3 linked regions of the Xenopus tropicalis genome follow. The protein of the gene in region 3 binds, or shares a complex with, the protein of the main gene of each other region. Links are inferred from orthologs where the notes say so. Each region holds a gene or a part of one and is shown on either strand. Other genes may lie near its edges. The genes, in order: mbtd1, anp32e and brd8.

Region 1 (3,654 bases), on a different chromosome or scaffold from region 3:
TCCGGGAGTATGGGTGAGGGGGCTATGGCGTAGTCCTCACTATCCTCGTCCGAGGGTGATGGAGCTCTGCGTTTGGAGGGCTTAACCCTGGGATTGTCCAGCCGTGTGAGGAGTTTGTCCAGTGAGAAAGCCAGTAAGGGGATGCCTGTAGCAAGTTGAGAGGCCCATGCAGGGATGGTTTGTGCTTCTGTCTGAAGCGGTTCCGCAGGTGTAGAGGATTCTTCCTGACATGGTTGGTTCACTGGAGGGGGAGCAGGTCGTGAGAGTTCCGGATCTTGCTTCCGCGGCTTGCAAGAGGCACATATAGTGTCTTTGTGACCCACAGGTAGAGGTTTGCGACATTTGGCAAAGGCTAAAAAATTTTATCTGCGCTAAAGACATGATGAGGAGCTGCGGAGTGAACACACGCAGTGCTATGAGAAACCCCCCCCCCCTTTTTTTTTTGGTGAATGTATGCAGACTGCGCTACACAACTGACCTGCGATGGAGGAGCAGGAGGTTGGAGCGATGGGGAGAGGGGGAGGCCCCCAGGAGAGTGCCTGCTGTAGTGGCAGCAGCTAACCCCACTGTTTAGGTGACCAGGGTGCCTCTGCGACGGCTGTGGGAGCTGTGCGGGGGACACAGAGTAGAACCTCTGCAGGGCAGGAGCTGTTGTGAGGCAGCCCGACAGCGATCTAACCGAAGGGCCAGATATCTGGAGAAGCGTTCCGGAGGTAAGACGCGCTTGTCAGAAGTGGTGCGAGAGGGACCGCACTTCCGGGTTGCGGCTGAATGGAGGGGGCGCGAACTGGTAAGAGCGCGAAAAGGAAGCGCCCAAATTTAAAATGGCGGTGTCCCGAATAGTGCGCTCCGCATCACCATGCGATGCGGGGCGTAATGGTGGAAGAGTTCCTCAGCGGAGACTTAATGCAATGCCACGTTGGAGGGTGTCAGAGGGAGACCTCCTACTCAGTGTAGGGGTCTTGACTACCCCCTAAGTCAGAATAACAGACTTGTTAATGTTGAAAGATTCTGAAAATAATAAAACGTCCTAACCTCCTGAGGACACAACAAAAACTGATCCAGGCTCCACCTGCTGGGGGTATAGCCAGTAGAGGAGGAGCCAAAACGTTATTAGTTGTTGTGTCCTGCCTCCTAGTGGTACCAGTGGTACCCCTCTGTTCCTGTGTCCCCCAAGCAGACGGTGGAGAAAATACGATTATGTCTGGAGAATGGCTTTATGAGTGGTAATCACCATTGTTATATAAAGGACAGGTCAAGTCAGAGTAAGAAGTAGAATAGTGTGGTTGCAGTATATGTAATCTATTTGGATTTTGCCAAACTATTTAATTCAGTGACATAGCTACAGTGAGAGGTTTAAAGTTGTGGAATTTTCTCCCAGAAAAAGTTACATTGGCAGATCCATTAGTTAGCTTCAAGACTTACACTTTAAGAATTTGGATGTCTTTATAGCAAGTGTGAAAATACAGGGCTACTGATATTAGCTCTTAGAAAAAAATTGATCCAGGGACTGGTCTGATTGCCATCTTGGCCTCAGATAGGGGAAAAATCCCTCCTGATTCCAACTGGAGAGGCTTCAGGTGGTGGTTTCACATTCCTCTACAACCAGCAATCAGACAGGTTTTTTTTAGACAAAAATGCTGAACTTGGACATGTGTCCTTTTTTCTGCCTAAATTATATTTTTTTAAATTAGCAGAAAATTAACACTACTGATAAATAAACTAGGTTATTTGTAGCCGGTTTGACTTACATTGTGGTGCTGGAGGCTGTAACTGGTATCCAGTTAGTTGGCACCAACCAACAGGATAGAGGTCTGAAGATTCACAGTCTACCCACTGATCATACTCATCTTCCCAGCCATCAAAATGTATCCTCAGCAGGCGATGAATAATACGTGTCACTGTAGCAACACACACAAGCCGAGGTTCCATAAGGTCTACAGCCTCAAGTTTCATACCAACACGAAACCCATGATTAGGAACTTCCTGGAAGTTGAAATACAAGTAAAAACCAGGGCACATTAAATACAGAAACCAGAGCCATCTGCAGCATGCATCCCAATGATCTATTTTTAATGCATCCCAATTATCTATCTATTTTAATGTGGAGCTGGCATTTTTAAGTTTTATTTTTTTTGCAATTAATATAATTTCATTTCATTGTAATTGTGGCAACAACATTATTGCTCATGGAGTGTCAAAACTGAGGCAACTTGAATGAATCAGTTGCAAGTTTAAGAGAGGGGGTTGTCTCACTTTTGATGCACATGTTGGCATTTGTGTGTAATTCTTTTACCAGAGGTCTGCCCCCCCCCCTTTAACACGAACCTGGATACAGTCTGGAACAGCATTGCTCTTATTCTTTTAAAATAAAATGCCTTTATTGCACACTTTCATGGCATTACAGCAATGTTTCAATCCTTATGCGCCCATTTATCAAGCCCCCTATTAACACTATGTAATGACTGAAACGTTCAGGGAGGCATTAAATCCAATATTCCTCTGTACAGGAACAATTAGTTAGTTGATTTTTAAGATGAATCCTTAATAAGTTTTAGCTACAACTCCAGTTTAAATAGGAAGGTGGTGGTTATGGCAGTAACTCCTTGGCAGTCATCCTTTATACTGTCTTTATAAGAACCACTACCAAACAGAGATGTCAGCAAAGATTTAAAGGAAAGTGTTACCTGGACAGGTCTGTTACCACCCATTGTTAGTATGTACTTTTGTGCTCATGGTTGATTGAGTTTTGGCATATGTCGGGCTATTGGTAAATAAAGTATTACCTTGTTAAAGAGTTTTACAGGAGCTGCTATAGATCCAGTTTCCCTGAGGTAGTCAAACCATTTAAAAGGTAGTTTTGTGTAGCCTGCAAAACAAAATATTTATCAGTACATGTATCATGTACATTGACATTTCCAAATGTTGAGGCAGAAACCCAGACGTTGCCCTTTGCACTGTATTAAAAAATGTTTCCACCTGCATAGGCCATAGTCCTGTTATAAATAAATATTTATAAATCAAATAACAAATACAAATATAGTTTTATTATCCTTTGCATAAAACTGGCTAAAAGTGAAGATCCCATCTTTTCATGCCCAAAACACATTTGAGTATCTCAGTTGCATTGTATCCACACTTATTTAATCAGTTCCAACAACTAAGTTGCATTCTAAAACATGCAACACATACTTGCCTTTTTTTTTTTTTTTTTTTTTTTTTTTTAAATTCTGAAAAATCCATGTTTTTTGAGCTAACAGGGTAAACTAGGAAACTGAAGCTGAACAGCATTGATGTAGGGTCTTTTAAGTGCACTGCTAATCTAATTGTATACTCTGCAAAAACCAAGTCCGGAATAGCTACAACTTCTCTTAAAACAATAGGCAAAGTGTATTTTCATCACAAGCCCCACTCACTTTTTTTTTTTTTAAAAGAAAAAAAGAAAAAAAACCCAGGAAATTAGGATGCTTTCCTCTATAAGAAAAGCATGTGCTTCTTAAGCAACCTATCAAGTAATTTTTATACAAGAATAATTTTCTTCTTATACTGTTATCTATTTGTGAGAATCACACCAGAAGTCAAACACACAAACACTTACCTCTTGGTGGAGTTAGTTCTATTTTGTTAATTTCACAGAAACCAACAGGAAATATT
Region 2 (4,121 bases), on a different chromosome or scaffold from region 3:
TTATAAAGCTGCAGAGATACGGAACCCTCTAGGTGTGCCATTAATTAAAGTGCATCCACCTGAAGTACACTGGAGTTTATGCCAAATGAATCTGCTGTAGCTAAAGTTTGCTGAACTGTGTGAGCAGGATACATTAAGGGCCAAGACACACAGAGCTATTTAGTAGCAGCTGCTTGTCACGGCTATTAAACGCCAGGAAATCCCCTGCCATAGACAATACTGATAATTTCCTCTGCTAAAAACACATGTAGACACAACTATCAGTAAATGATCAGCATTGTCTATTTTGTAGCCATGACAAGTAGCTGCTACTAGTAGCTCCATGTGTCTTCACCCTCAGGAGGAATCTAAAGTTTTTTTCACAGGCCCCAGAATTTGGCCCTGATGATATGGGACCTTAAATAACAGCAAGCACCATCTAAACTCCCGCCATGAACCCTCCTACACAGCAACCACAACAAGGCCCTCCTGGGGTAACTGTACCCACCCACAGATCCTTACCTGTGCTGCTCTGGCACCGACTCACAAACCCTGGCATTCTAGGCTACTGCTTCTCAACCTTATGAATTAAGATCCAAAAACAGGACAGATTTATCACAATCCTACTTATTGCAGGGCTATCATTGGGAAGGAGACAAATGACAACTTTGTTAGGGTGAAGACACACAGATACTAGTAGCAGCTACTTGTCACAGCTACTAAAATAGACAATGCTGATCATTTATTGATAAATGTCTCCACATGTGTTTTAGCAGAGGCAATTCCCAGTATTGTCTATGGCAGTGTATTTTCTAGAGTTAGAAAAAGCAGCTGCTACTAGTAGCTCAGTGTGTCTTCACCCTCAGAGAGCAGGCACTACGTTTAATGTGGGTTTATCTACAGAAGTTAACTAACTTTTAAATTAATGAAAAAAGTTCACTTCCTATAAGGGTGAAGAAACACCGAGCTACTAGTAGCAGCTACTTTTTCATGGCTACTAAACTCCAGAAAATCCCCTGCCATAGACAATACTGAGAATTGCCTCTGCTAAAACACATGTAGAGACAGTTAGCAGTAAATGATCAGCATTGTCTATGTTAGTAGCCACAACAAGTAGCTGCTACTAGTAGCTCCATGTGTCTTCACCCTAAAGTTACATTTATTTGCAGTTAAAAGCAGCGTTTCTTTAATTCCTTTCTGGTCTCGGTGTCTGACTCATGAAACAATGTAGCCGGAGTCCCTTCCCCTTCAGGTCTGCCCATCAGCTGGCTTCTGCTACATTATTTCAGAAAGGCAGAGAAAACAATGCAGCGGGACGGAGACGCCGCTTTCGGCAGCAATTACAATCCCCAAGTGACTGAGCGTCGGAATCTAGAGAGGAAAGTGGCAGGAATGGCCGGTATTATTGTTACACATGGCCGGAGCACATGGTTGGGTGGCACATACACCCCACTGCACTATCCTATAGGGCAAGCAGAACTACAGCAACCACACTGACATCAAGCAACAGAACCGCTCCCTGGCTCATACTAAGGTCCAATCAGGGCACATATTGCTCAAATGATGCTTAACTACAACTCCCAGCAATCCCCAACGTACAAGGGTTAAAGCATGCTGGGAGTTGTAGGAAAGTAACAAGTGGGGAGCCAAGAATAAGAAAGCCCCACATAGACCGTCAGTTGTTAAACCACACTGACATCAAGCAACAGAACCGCTCCCTGGCTCATACTAAGGTCCAATCAGGGCACATATTGCTCAAATGATGCTTAACTACAACTCCCAGCAATCCCCAACGTACAAGGGTTAAAGCATACTGGGAGTTGTAGGAAAGTAACAACTGGGGAGCCCAAGGCTAAACCCCCCCAGACCTTCAGTTGTTGAACTACAACTCCCAGCAATCCTCAACGTACAAGCAAGGGTTAAAGCATACTGGGAGTTGTAGGAAAGTAACAACTGGGGAGCCAAGCCCCCCCACAGACCATCAGTTGTTGAACTACAACTCCCACCAATCAACGTACAAGCAAGGGTTAAAGCATACTGGGAGTTGTAGGAAAGTAACAACTGGGGAGCCCAAGGCTAAAAGCCCCCCACAGACTGTCAGTTGTTGAACTACAACTCCCAGCAATCCTCAACGTACAAGCAAGGGTTAAAGCATACTGGGAGTTGTAGGAAAGTAACTGGGGAGCCAAGCCCCCCCCAGACCTTCAGTTGCTGAACTACAACTCCCAGAATGCTCTGCTGGTGCTGGCTGCAGACGAACTATAATGGCAGCCACCTGTAGCTGAAGGGAATAGTAGTTTCCTTAGCGTTACAAGCACCAGAGGCTGCTGGGAGTTGTAGTTCATGCACCTACAGTGTGCAGGTTATAAATGTGGCGCTAGTAAAGCAGTGAGCGCCCCCCTCCTACTCCTCAGGGGCACTGGGCCCTCTCCTGCCATGAGGTGGGGCCGGTCCCTCTCTCTCCCCTCCCTCCATCACCTTCTCATCCAAACTTTGCGAGTGCGGGACAGAAAAGAGACGAGCCCGGCGGGCTACGGAGCGAAAGGAGATCCCCCCCACTATAAAGACATATATATACCCATACGAGTTCCCCCCCTCCTGCCCATGCACGGTGGTACAACCCATAAGCCCCAAAGAATCCCACCTCGGAAGGATTCCTGTTCCTCAACTCCAAGCTGATGCGCTTCTTCATCTCCATTTTCCCGGGCCAATGTCTTGACGCCTCACGCACAAAGAAACTTTCACCAGAACGGCGGGAAAACAACCAAAAATCAAGAGAAAAATAAAGCGAAGGCTAAAACCAAAACAGAAGTGTCCGACGCGGGCTGTTTGACTCCCCTCTCCACAGGGCTTCCTACTCTCTCAATGGCCGCTCACTAACTGAGACTCCATTACACAGCACAGGCATCCCCTTCGCTAAGTTGACGCCCCTCCCACGCAACGATTGGCTGTCCGCTCAGGGATCGTGGCTATTATTGGTGGTCAATTATGTCAGTCAGGTTCTTCCAAATAGAACGCCGCACCATTGGCTGGAAGTATGAGCGCAGTAAATTCGGATTGGCTGCTGCTTTTGTCCATCTCGGGGGGGATGCGTTGGTTTTTTTTAATTTTTTTTTTTTTTTTTAATCTTTTAATGTCGTTTGACCCAGGCGTCGTGTCTTTGTGTATTCAGTGCTTTCGCGCCCTATTTTAGGTCAGGGAAGCGTTGTGTGAGGTGGGATATCTGCTAATGTAGGGGCTACTTCGCTTGCGATAAATCAATGTAATGGTAGAGTAGGCTGGAATACGCGCAAGGATACCTTAAATGTACGATAAAGAGAAACACGAACTAATTGTAGTCATTTGTTACCGCCAAAATGGCTAGAGGGAAGGCAAAGGAGCCTTTTAGGTTATTTGATCGTTTGTCCTGGGCCCGTCTGTGGCCATATTGGGTACATATGTCGGCATATTAAGTCTTATATAGATATGAAGACGTATTAGTGGGTCCAAAAATTATTTTAGAGCCCTGTATAAGCTTTGGAAATAAGCCATGTAAAGAAATATATATTTTGAAGCTGGGTGTCTGTTATTATACAGCCTTGTCCAACTAGTACTCCCAGGGTCCTAGTTATGGTGTTAAATTGAGCAAATACATAAAGACTTGGTTGGTGAGGTTGCTAACCAATCCGATTTGGCCATACACGGGCCTATAGTAGCTGCCGATATGGGTCCCTTAAGCAAAAAAGTGTCTGCACACTCAGAAAGTACAAAAGAAACAAATCTTTTATTAAATACAAAACAGAAAATACAGCCCAACGCGTTTCAACCCAATAAAGGGTCTTCATCAGGAGAAAAAAAAGTTAAAAAAGGGGCAGGATATGTGTCCCTAAAGGTGGCCACACACAGGCAGATCCGCTTGCTTGGCTTCATCCGATATCCCCACCTACGGGTGGGGCCAAACGATCGAATTCTGCACGCGGCCTGGGGCCAAACGATCGAATTCTGCACGCGGCAATGGGGCAGTCGGTTCTGGGACCGCATCAACGAGCCGATGCGGTCCCCGATCCGACGGGATTTTCTAACCTGGCCGACCGATATCTGGCCAATTTCAGGCCAGATATCGGTCGGCCAGTCCGATCGTTTCTGCCCCTACACGGGCCGAT
Region 3 (3,654 bases):
CATTATGCCATATTCATACCTTGTCTTCAATAATGGCAATTATGTCACCAACAGTTTCAAAGTCAAGTTCTTCCATGTCCATTTTCTCAGAAAGGTCCAGATCTGCCTTGCCTTCTGAGGTCTCATCTTTGGACTGTCTAACCCCATCGCTACTTGCCAAGCACTCTTTGTTGATTGAGTCTATTATCATGGAGATGTCACTGCTGTCCATAGATACTGAGATGGAGTGAGGATCTGAAGCAGAGTCATTGCTGTCTTGCTGAGTCACTATGTAAAAAAAAAAAAAAGGGTGAATTGGTCAATTAATAATAAATATGTTCTCTGAATGCAGCACTTTCAAAATCACTAGTTTCACTTTTCTAGAGCTTGAAAGACTTGATATATCAAATGCGGCCCCATTAGGGCCTTTATCAAGGATAATGTGGCATGAACCATCACATGTATTGTAAATAAATTGTGTAAACCACTTGGAAAAGAGTGCTGGTCCTTGATAACATTTTATAATAAGGATCAATCGTGCAACAGTTTATACACACATACTGTAATGAATATATGAACACAGGAAAAACAAACTCCTATAGAAAAGGGCTCACCAACATATTTATCTCAGGGGCTGATTTATTAATGACTGCAGGCAGCCACATCTGCAAATTCATTAAAAGCTTTGAACTTTTTGAGTTAATTTTTTTTAAACATTATATCAAACAAAATTTAAAAATGATATCACATAGCTCTGACCTACTAAAATGCCACGATTCAATGGGAAGTCGAAAAATTTTATTTAAAAAGTCTACTGTGTAAAAAACCTCTGTCATAAACATGGCAACTAATTATTAAAACAAGTTAATGTTAATTAGATCAATGAACATTCCCTGGTTCCCTCTTTCAGTAGCAACTGTAACTGTGCAAGTGCAGATACTTTCAAAAACAGAGGTTTTTTTAGTTACAAAGTTATACCATAGCACATTAAGGCATTGGTCTTACAGGGCTTAAAGGAAAACTATACCCCAAACAATGTAGGTCTCTATAAAAATATATTGCATAAACAAGCTCATATGTAAAACCCTGGGTCATCTAAATAAACCATTTTCATAAAAATATACTTTTTAAATAGTATGTGCTATTGGGTAATCCTAAATAGAAAATTGCCATTTAAGAATTAAGGGCCGCCCCCTGGGATCATAGGATTCAACAGTGCACACAAACAAGCCAAGGCACATATACATGCTAGGCCCCATCAGCCAATGGAATGGACAGAGTTCTGCCTTTTGCTTTCACATTACTTCCTGTTACAGTTAGAGCTGCATTATTTCTTGTCATGTGATCTCTGAGGGAGCACACAGCCCATCACAAAATGGTGTCTTAAGGTAAAGGATGTAAAAGGACAATATTTACACACACATATACATACATATATATACATATATATTCAAAAAGGTCCCAAAAGGGACCGAAACGTTGGTTGTACATGCAATTATAACACACAAGAGACTTTTTGAAACACAAAGACCCTTGGTGCTGGCTGCTTTGTTTTGATATTTATATATATATATATACAGTGGAGGAAATAATTATTTGACCCCTCACTGATTTTGTAAGTTTGTCCAATGACAAAGAAATGAAAAGTCTCAGAACAGTATCATTTCAATTGTAGGTTTATTTTAACAGTGGCAGATAGCACATCAAAAGGAAAATCGAAAAAATAACTTTAAATAAAAGATAGCAACTGATTTGCATTTCATTGAGTGAAATAAGTTTTTGAACCCTCTAACAAAAAAAGACTTAATACTTAGTGGAAAAACCCTTGTTTGCAAGCACAGAGGTCAAACGTTTCTTGTAATTGATGACCAAGTTTGCGCACATTTTAGGAGGAATGTTGGTCCACTCCTCTTTGCAGATCATCTCTAAATCCCTAAGGTTTCGAGGCTGTCTCTGTGCAACTCTGAGCTTGAGCTCCCTCCATAGGTTTTCTATTGGATTAAGGTCCGGAGACTGACTAGGCCACTCCATGACCTTAATGTGCTTCTTCTTGAGCCACTCCTTTGTTGCCTTTGCTGTATGTTTTGGGTCATTGTCGTGCTGGAACACCCATCCACGACCCATTTTCAGTTTCCTGGCAGAGGGAAGGAGGTTGTCGTTCAGGATTTCACGATACATGGCTCCGTCCATTTTCCCGTTAATGCGAATAAGTTGTCCTGTGCCCTTAGCAGAAAAACACCCCCAAAGCAAAATGTTTCCACCCCCATGCTTGATGGTGGGGACGGTGTTTTGGGGGTCATAGGCAGCATTTTTCTTCCTCCAAACACAGCGAGTTGAGTTAATGCCAAAGAGCTCTATTTTGGTCTCATCAGACCACAGCACCTTCTCCCAGTCACTCACAGAATCATTCAGGTGTTCATTGGCAAACTTCAGACGGGCCTGCACATGTGCCTTCTTGAGCAGGGGGACCTTGCGAGCCCTGCAGGATTTTAATCCATTGCGGTGTAATGTGTTTCCAATGGTTTTCTTGGTGACTGTGGTCCCTGCTAATTTGAGGTCATTAACTAACTCCTCCCGTGTAGTTCTAGGATGCTTTTTCACCTTTCTCAGAATCATTGACACCCCACGAGGTGAGATCTTGCGTGGAGCCCCAGAGCGAGGTCGATTGATGGTCATTTTGTGCTCCTTCCGTTTTCGAACAGTCGCACCAACAGTTGTCACCTTCTCTCCCAGCTTCTTGCTAATGGTTTTGTAGCCCATTCCAGCCTTGTGCAGGTCTACAATTTTGTCTCTGACATCCTTGGACAGCTCTTTGGTCTTTCCCATGTTGGTGAGTTTGGAGTCTGCTTGATTGATTGATTCTGTGGACAGGTGTCTTTTATACAGGTGACTAGTTAAGACAGGTGTCCTTAATGAGGTTGACTAATTGAGTAGAAGTGTCTAACCACTCTGTGGGAGCCAGAACTCTTAATGGTTGGTAGGGGTTCAAAAACTTATTTCACTCAATGAAATGCAAATCAGTTGCTATCTTTTATTTAAAGTTATTTTTTCGATTTTCCTTTTGATGTGCTATCTGCCACTGTTAAAATAAACCTACCATTGAAATGATACTGTTCTGAGACTTTTCATTTCTTTGTCATTGGACAAACTTACAAAATCAGTGAGGGGTCAAATAATTATTTCCTCCACTGTATATATATATATATATATATATATATATATATATATATATATATATATATATATATATATATATATATATATATATATATATATATATATATATATATATATATATATATATATATATATATATATGTTCCAATAAACTATCTACTGGTTAAGTATTCATTTCTTTAAATACCGCCCCTTCCAGTATCTATCCCTTAGCCTATGCCCAGTTCAATATGGTGGGTCTGTCTGAGCAAATACTGAATAAAGGATAAATCTGTTGGTAAAGTATTCATTTAGTTTTCATATTTAGTTTTCATATAGTTTTCCTTTAATAGCCAGCTATGCGGCTGTACTCATTCGGGCACATACAAGCAAAACACCTGTGTGCAAGAGTCTTTACTATAGATAGGGCAGGAAAGGGTTACAAATGATCAATTTGTAAAAATGTATATATTGTGAGAGATGCAATGGGAAAGAGCGTTATTTGGTGTATTTCCACCA

The links.
Region 1: brd8 (region 3) and mbtd1 share a complex: the UniProt entries of both Homo sapiens proteins name them as parts of the nuA4 histone acetyltransferase complex. The link is inferred for Xenopus tropicalis from reciprocal best matches to the Homo sapiens genes BRD8 and MBTD1.
Region 2: brd8 (region 3) and anp32e share a complex: the UniProt entries of both Homo sapiens proteins name them as parts of the SWR1-like complex. The link is inferred for Xenopus tropicalis from reciprocal best matches to the Homo sapiens genes BRD8 and ANP32E.

The regions. Positions count from the first base shown.
Region 1 is NC_030686.2:23,303,453-23,307,106, forward strand, and holds part of mbtd1 (MBT domain-containing protein 1), read right to left. Parts: coding exon 3,599-3,654; intron 2,870-3,598; coding exon 2,787-2,869; intron 1,987-2,786; coding exon 1,752-1,986; intron 1-1,751. UniProt on the Homo sapiens protein: Chromatin reader component of the NuA4 histone acetyltransferase complex, a multiprotein complex involved in transcriptional activation of select genes principally by acetylation of nucleosomal histones H4 and H2A.
Region 2 is NC_030684.2:129,186,551-129,190,671, forward strand, and holds the start of anp32e (acidic leucine-rich nuclear phosphoprotein 32 family member E), read right to left. Parts: upstream 2,845-4,121; 5' UTR 2,678-2,844; coding exon 2,624-2,677; intron 1-2,623. UniProt on the Homo sapiens protein: Histone chaperone that specifically mediates the genome-wide removal of histone H2A.Z/H2AZ1 from the nucleosome: removes H2A.Z/H2AZ1 from its normal sites of deposition, especially from enhancer and insulator regions.
Region 3 is NC_030679.2:47,824,544-47,828,197, forward strand, and holds part of brd8 (bromodomain-containing protein 8), read right to left. Parts: intron 268-3,654; coding exon 20-267; intron 1-19. UniProt on the Homo sapiens protein: May act as a coactivator during transcriptional activation by hormone-activated nuclear receptors (NR). Isoform 2 stimulates transcriptional activation by AR/DHTR, ESR1/NR3A1, RXRA/NR2B1 and THRB/ERBA2.